Macaca mulatta: one gene and its partner. The protein of the gene in region 1 purifies or fractionates together with the protein of each later gene. This does not show direct contact. Links are inferred from orthologs where the notes say so. Each region holds a gene or a part of one and is shown on either strand. Other genes may lie near its edges. The genes, in order: PRKCZ and NIPSNAP2.

Region 1 (2,864 bases):
GAGGCTAAGGCAGGAGAGTAGCTTGAACCAGGGAGTCGAAGGTTGCAATGAGCCGAGACTGCGCCACTGCTCTCCAGCCTGGGCAACAGAGCGAGGCTCTATCTCAAAAAGAAAAAAAAAAAAAAGTGGGCTAGAGAGTGAGCGAGTGAATGAGTGAGTGGGATAGCAAGGGAGGGAGAGCGTGAGTCGGAGTGGGTTAGACAGTGAGGGAGGGAGAGCGTGAATGTCTGTCTTGGTGCTGCTGTAACAGACTACCTGAGCCTGGGTTATTTCCAGGAAGCAGAGGTTGTTCCCAGCTGTGGAGGCTGGGAGTCCAGGGTCTTGGTGCCAGCAGGCTTGGTGTCTGGTGAGGCCAGATCTCTGCTTCCAAGAGGGTGCCCAAACACCGCATTCCCCAGAGGGGAGAGGGGAGGAAGGCCACGTGCCTTCATGGCAAAAGGCAGAGAGGAATCCATGCCCAAGCTGTCTTGACAGCTCCAGGAATCCGTCTGTGAGGGCAGGGCTCCCATCGGGCCCCACCTCCTACACTGTTGCTCTGGGGAATGAGTTTCTCACTGAATCTGGGGGGCACATTCAGACCCTATTGTGGGTGGGTGAGAGAGCATAGCTGTGTCACTGGGACAAGTGGCCATGAGTCAGGGGAACTGAGGGGCTTTCATTGTCCTCACCTGTGTGTGTTGTGGCACCTGTGCCAGGCACCAGCGTTCTGCCCTCCCTGGCACAGGTGCATCACCAAGGCCCAGTACGCAGTGGCCAGAAGTGAGCCTTGAGCCGAGGCCCACCTGCTGGGCATTTTCCTGCCAAGCAGCACCTGAGATTCTGAAGTCGATGCCTGGATAGGCGGAAACGGCCGGCAGGAGGCTCCTGACAGATGGATCGTGCGGTACCAGTGCAGGCAGGGTGCTGTGGGCAGGTCCTGCGCCTTTATGGTCAGGGTTCCAAGACGTCATGAGACGGCTTGTTCAGCCAGTTAGCGTTGGTGCCCCTCTCAACAAGGACCCCCAGGAAGGGGGTGGCCTCACAAGGGTGGCCGGGGGTCCCGCTCCATCCCACATGTGGCCAGCGTGGCCCACACTTCTGGCGTTCCTCTCAGCTCGACAACAATTTTTCTGACTTTGGAGATTTTCTAGGTTCTGTGTTGTAAGAAGAAACACTTGGCATTCAAATACTAGGCAGATTGAAATGCTGAGTTTCTCAGTGTTTCATTCTGTGATTCAAGTGCATGCGGAACTCTCAATCTGGTAGGGATGATGCCCGCGCGGAGCTGACCCTTCTTGCCTTGTTTTTCCAAGCTGGAGAAGAAGCAGGCGCTCCCTCCATTCCAGCCACAGATCACGGACGACTACGGTCTGGACAACTTTGACACACAGTTCACCAGCGAGCCCGTGCAGCTGACCCCAGACGATGAGTAAGTCCCACTGGGTGCGGGGACCCCGGAGCACCCCCCCCGGGCAGCCCCATGGCAGGCCGGCACCTTGGGCGGCTGGTGACCCGGCCTGCCCTTGAGTCCCGCCCGCCTGGCGTCCTCTCTCCGGTGGGCGTTGGGGGAGGATTCTTTTGCGAATGTGACTCCCCTCCCCAGAGGGAATGAACACAGGTCATCCCCCCCGCCCCCTGCCGCCTTTGCCCACAGGGATGCCATAAAGAGGATCGACCAGTCGGAGTTCGAAGGCTTCGAGTACATCAACCCATTACTGCTGTCCACCGAGGAGTCGGTGTGAGGCCGCTGCGTCTCTGTCGTGGACATGCGTGATTGACCCTTTAACTGTATCCTTAACCACCGCATATGCATGCCAGGCTGGGCACGGCTCCGAGGGCAGCCAGGGACAGACGCTTGCGCCGAGACCACGGAGGGAAGCGTCGGCAGGCGCTGCTGGGAGCAGAACGGTCCCTCACACCTGGGCCCGGGCAGGCCAGCTTCGTGCTGGAGGAACTTGCTGCTGAGCCTGTGTCGCGGTGGCCGCGGGGACCCTGCTGAGGGGCTGTCATGCAGTTTCCAAGGTGCACATTTTCCACGGAAACAGAACTCGATGCACTGACCTGCCCCGCCAGGAAAGGGAGCGTGTAGCGTCCTGAGGAATAAAAGTTCCGATGATGTGGAAGCCCCTCTGATGCCTTTTTTCCGTGAGTGGCGCCTGCCCCACGTCTCCGATACAGCCACATGGAGGGGGGCAGGTTAGGAGCCAGCAGGACACAGGTGGGGGCGGGAGTGTAAGTGCCTGTGGGGACACACGCAATCAAGAAGTGTACAAACTCGCACCGTTTCCTAAAGCCCGGTAAGTTCCTGTGGTTGTTCCTGCAGAGCGTGTGCCCAGCCGCTGTGGTCTCAGGGTGAAGTGACACCTTAAGCAGGTGGCGGCTGGGCCAGCCAGCTCACTGGACCGATGGGGAAATTGGATCATAGAGATTCTAAAATGTGGCTCACCAAAGCACAGTAGACCAAAAAAGAGAAAAAGAAAATTGAAAACTAAATCTGCACAAATCCATTTCTGACCACACTAAGCAGTGCCTGCACGATCCCTCGTGCAACGCGTTTGACTTTTGGAAAATATTCTTACCTGTCACACAGTACTGAGAGTTAGGGAAAACTAACAGATGTATGTGTGACAGACCCCAGCCTTAAAGTTCAAAATGATGACCCTACAGACATCCGGAAACACAGGCAATCCTCCCAGCAGCACGGACCTTCCGCTCCCTCCTGCTCCCGGGACGCGCCCGCGCTCTCCGTCCTCCCACCCCTCCGGTGAAGGGACAGCTACCCAGAGCCGAGGCTTCCTAGAGGCAGGTCTGCCGGCTGCCAGGGGTCAGGTGTGGCGGAGCCGTCTTCTGAGCTCTCTGGGAGGGGGGTCGCACCACCTCGTGCC
Region 2 (4,487 bases), on another chromosome or scaffold:
CTCCAGCCTTGGCAAAGGGCAAGACTCTACATCTAAGGAAAAAAAAAATCCTTTAGTCGTCCCCTTCACTAACAGGTCCGAGCCCACATTCTTCATAGGAATCCAGACGAGTATTGCTGAGGGTTGAGCTAGGGCAGTGGCGATGGAGAGGGTGGATTCAAGACATACTAGAGGCAGAACTGACAGATTTGGTAAATGATAGATGGTGGGAAAAAAGACGGATGGGCTTGGGGAAGACAGTCTGGCTTCCGGCCTGGGCCACCACATGGAAAATGTTTCATGACTGAAGAAAAAGTATCCAAGAGAAGCAGGCTTCGTGGAAGGAAGAGGAGTTAAATCCTGGGTACAGCAGTGTTTTGAGCACCTGTGAGACATTCAACGTCCAGGAAGCGGCTGGGGATTCCAAGTTTGCTGCTAAGCAGCGCTAAGTGAAATATGCTGGCTAATGTACAGGCAGGGATGAGGCTCCCAGGAGGATGCCCCTCTTGCTTGCTGAAACTGATCCGGCAAGGTCACCCACAACACCCCTGTTGGCAAATTCTGTTTTCTTCCATCATTTTACCTAACCCTTTGGCAGCAGATGGCACTCCCTCCCTCCTCCTGGCCACTGTAATATAACAATGACCTAGCCAGTTCCCCCTCCTACATTCAACCTGTATATGTTGCACGTCCCAGGGCTTGCTTTGCAGGCCTTCACTCGCCACACTCACGCCTCAAGCAATCTCACACATTCTGATGGTTTTTTGTTTTATTTTGGAGACGGTCTGGCTCTTTCACCTAGGCTGGAATGCAGTGGCATGATCAGCTCACTGCAACCTCCACCTCCTAGGTTCAAGCTATACTCCCACCTCAGCCTCCCAAGTAGCTGGGACTACAGGCACGTGCCACCATGCCAGGCTAATTTTTGTATTTTTTGTAGAGATGTGTTTTGTCATGTTGCCAGGGATGGTGTCGAACTCCTGAGCTCAAGCGATCAGTCCAGTTCGGCCTCTCAAAGTGCTGGGATTACAGCCTGAGCCACTGCACCTGGCTTCCTATGGTTTAAAAAGTTTCATTACACAAATTTTTATTTATGTACTTATTTATTATTAGGGACAGAGTTCCACTATGTTGCCCAGGCTGGTCTCAAACTCCTGGGCTCAAGCAATCCTCCTGCCTCAACTTCCCAAAGTGCTGAGATTACAAGTGTGAGTCACCGCGCCCAGCCTTTATTGTGAAAAATGTAAACCAAATATGAAACAGTATAATGAAATCCATGTGTCTATTAACATTTAGCATTCCTATATACTGACAACTCCCAAATGTTACCTGTAGCCCAGACACCTCCTTTGAGGAGTCATATAGCCAACTGTCTGTTTGCTTTTCCACTTGAATAGCACACAGCCTTCACAAACTTTACCAGGTCCTAAACTGCTCTGAATTCTTCTTCCCCAGCGCTGCTGAATTACTGGTAAGCTCCCCGATGGTCTTGCATGCCTTATTCACTGACGTCTCTCAACAGTCAACAGTGCCTGACACTCATATTTGGCAGAACAAACAACTCTCAGCAAACTCTCAACTCTCAGTGCCAGCGTCCATTCAGCTGGCCACGACCCTTATTTCTGCCCCCTCTCCCAAGTCAGACTCATCTTTTTAAAAAGATCAGGCTGGGCATGGTGACTCACCACTGTAATCCCAGCACTTTGGGAGGCTGTGACAGGTGGATCACCTGAGCTCATAAGTTCGAGACTAGCCTGACCAACATGGTGAAACTCCGTCTCTACTAAATATACAAAAATTTAGCCGGCTGTGGTGGTGCATGCCTGTAATCCCAGCTACTTGGGAGGCCGAGGCAGGAGAATCACTTGAACCCGGCGGAGGTTGCAGAGAGACAAGACCGTGCCATTGCACTCCAGCCTGGGCAACAAGAGCAAAACTCCGTCTCAAAAAAAAATAATAAACCATGTTATTGAAAGCTCCCTGGCCGATGGTGAGTTTAACACACAGTTCCCTTGGTAATTTAAACTACCTAAAGCAATGAATATGAGAAAGTAACTCTGGGTAAGTTAGGATAGGCTTTGCTGTTTGAATGTGGAAAATAGCACACGCAAACGTCAAGGTGAAATTTGGACAACCAAACGTCCAATCCACTGAAGTTAGAGGAAAAAAAAAAAGAAGTTTACACAAGAGCCCCACGCCTGAACACTTAGTGCTGGTAACTCTAAGTACTTTTAGAACCACGGCCGGCTTTAAATTTCAAGTCAAAGACGTGAGTGCTTTGACCTCCTCCAAGCGTTGACTTCCCCCTCCCTCCGCGTAGGGCTGGCCCGGGACCATGCTTTAAGCTTTTATATCCTACTCACAGCACCTCAGAGGCCAGGGTCACCAACGTCCTCAGCAGAGGCGGCCACCCAGGCTTGGAGCAGCCTCCGGCGGGGACCCAGCAGGCGGCGTCTGGGGCCTGCGGCCTCAGGCGCGCGCTGTCCCTGTCCCCGGCCCCGGGTTGCGCCGGTCAGGGCCCTGCAGGCCAGGCCAGCGCCGCGGGGAGGATGTGGCCTCCGCGCCAAGCCTCGGGCGCCTTCTCGGGCGAGGGCGGAGCTGCAGCGCGGCCCGTCCCCGCCGTGACCTTGAGCCCGAGGGCGCCCCGACCCGGACCTAGGTCTGTCCCCACCGCCCCGAGACCGGGCGGCCACCCGCGGTGGGGAAAGGGCCGGGGCGGAGACCCGCGCCGGGAAACCCCGCGCCCTCCGCCTCCCGGCGGCCCCTCCCCGACAGCTCCCGGAAAGGGCGGCGCTGCTCACCGGAGCCTGGGCAGGAGGCTGCAGGGGGCCGCCCGCCGTAGGAGGCCACCGGCCCAGGCCGCTCCGCGAGCGCGTAGCACTCGCGCCGCCATCTTGCTCGGCGCCTCGGCTCCCACCACCCGGGCGCCGCCGCTGACGCCGCCGCCGCGCGACCCCTCCCCCGGCCGGGCCCCGACGCAACCACTGCAGTGCGGGGCGCGGCCGCCAGGGGGAGCAGGGCGCCCGGCCGCGGGGGTCGGCTGGTTGTCCCGGCGCCGAGGTCCGACCACTGCGGGAAAGCGCGAAGCCCAAGCGCAGTCAGTGCAAGCCGATCACTTCCAGCGAAAGGAGTTCGGTGCCCAGAAGCGCGGGTGCAGAAGGGACAAGGGCATAGCTTCAGTGATCAGGGAAAACTCCACAAGGAAAGAGTAACACTGTGCCTAGGGGAATCCAGGTCCTGGGGCGGGGCAGCGGCAGTGGAGTTCCCCCCACACCACCCCGCCAATATCTTTTAAATTTTGTAGTATATGAATATGTTGTCATTTCAAAAAGCCCCACAACGCTCCAGCCTGAGCAACACAGCGACATCCTGTCACAAAAAAAAAAAGAGAGAAAGAAAGAAGGAAGACAGGGAAGGAAGGAAGGAAAGGAAGGAAGGGAAGGGAAGGAGAAAGAGAAAAGAAAAGAAAGTGTAGCAGGAGGAGCCACAGACAAAGCTCCTCAGACACCGGATTAGAGAAGGAAGAGGTTTTTTATTCGTCCGGGAGCCTCGGCAGACTCACGTCTTAAGCGCGGAGCGCCCCAAAAAAGAAATACTTGGCCTTTTTAAAGGCTTACAACTTTAAGGGGTCTATGTGAAAGGGTCGTGACAAATAGAGCAAGCGTGGAAAACGTGACTGGGGCCTACATAAATCAGCTAACAGAACAAAAAGTTTTACAATGGCTTTTTCATACAGTGTCTGGAATTTACAGATAACACAAGTAGTTTAGGTCAGGGGTTGATGTTGTTAGTATTACTTTTTTTAACTCCTAGGGCTGGGTGGTGGTGCCAAGGTTGTCTAGCTATTTATCTTACTTTTGTTTCTTTCTCTCTTTCCTCCTGTCGTGTGAACTAGGCAAGGTGGGGGGAGGAGGGCAGCAGGAGTAGTAGTGGTCTCCTTCCTTAAAAGAAAGTGAGGAAGAAATTTTAACCACACACATACACACAAAAAAAAATTAAGGAGAAAGGACTGGGAGGGTTCTCTTTAGGTCTTGGGACGGCATCATTCCCATTCATTTCAGCACCGGTGGGCACTGGCCATGGGAGTCCTTGGTACCTACCCTCAAGGCCGTCCGGGTCTAGTGGTGACAGAATGACAATGATGATTGGACCGAGTGTGTTGTAAGCATCAAGATGGACAGGTTCATGAGACGTGAAAGAGGCACGGAAAGAGAGCATGTAACCGGGGGTGGCTGTGAATTAGAGGATAGATGGGGAAAAAGTTCCCCAAGGAGCTGGCAGGACATATCAGTCCCAGGGAAAGAAGGGAGGGCATCCCTGGCTGAGGAAATAACTTAAGCAAACGTGTGGATCTGGGTGGCTGACACTGTAGAGGGAAAAATGTATCCTCCAGGAAGACAAAAAATAAAAAATAAAAAAAAAGCTACAAATGTAGTCGGGCCCGGTGGTTCATGTCTGTAATCCCAGCACCTTGGGTGCTTGGGTGGGGGAGGCAGGCGGATCACCTG

The links.
Region 2: the proteins of PRKCZ (region 1) and NIPSNAP2 purify together in Homo sapiens (affinity purification with mass spectrometry; 3 studies listed by BioGRID and IntAct, counting the BioPlex papers as one, with this or other methods). This does not show direct contact. The link is inferred for Macaca mulatta from reciprocal best matches to the Homo sapiens genes PRKCZ and NIPSNAP2.

What each region holds. Positions count from the first base shown.
Region 1 is NC_133406.1:238,497,261-238,500,124, reverse strand, and holds the end of PRKCZ (protein kinase C zeta type), read left to right. Parts: exon of another isoform or gene 1-1,292; coding exon 1,293-1,408; exon of another isoform or gene 1,409-1,633; coding exon 1,634-1,721; 3' UTR 1,722-2,102; downstream 2,103-2,864. UniProt on the Homo sapiens protein: Calcium- and diacylglycerol-independent serine/threonine-protein kinase that functions in phosphatidylinositol 3-kinase (PI3K) pathway and mitogen-activated protein (MAP) kinase cascade, and is involved in NF-kappa-B activation, mitogenic signaling, cell proliferation, cell polarity, inflammatory response and maintenance of long-term potentiation (LTP).
Region 2 is NC_133408.1:72,026,504-72,030,990, reverse strand, and holds the start of NIPSNAP2 (protein NipSnap homolog 2), read right to left. Parts: upstream 2,898-4,487; 5' UTR 2,873-2,897; coding exon 2,781-2,872; intron 1-2,780. UniProt on the Homo sapiens protein: Protein involved in mitophagy by facilitating recruitment of the autophagy machinery required for clearance of damaged mitochondria.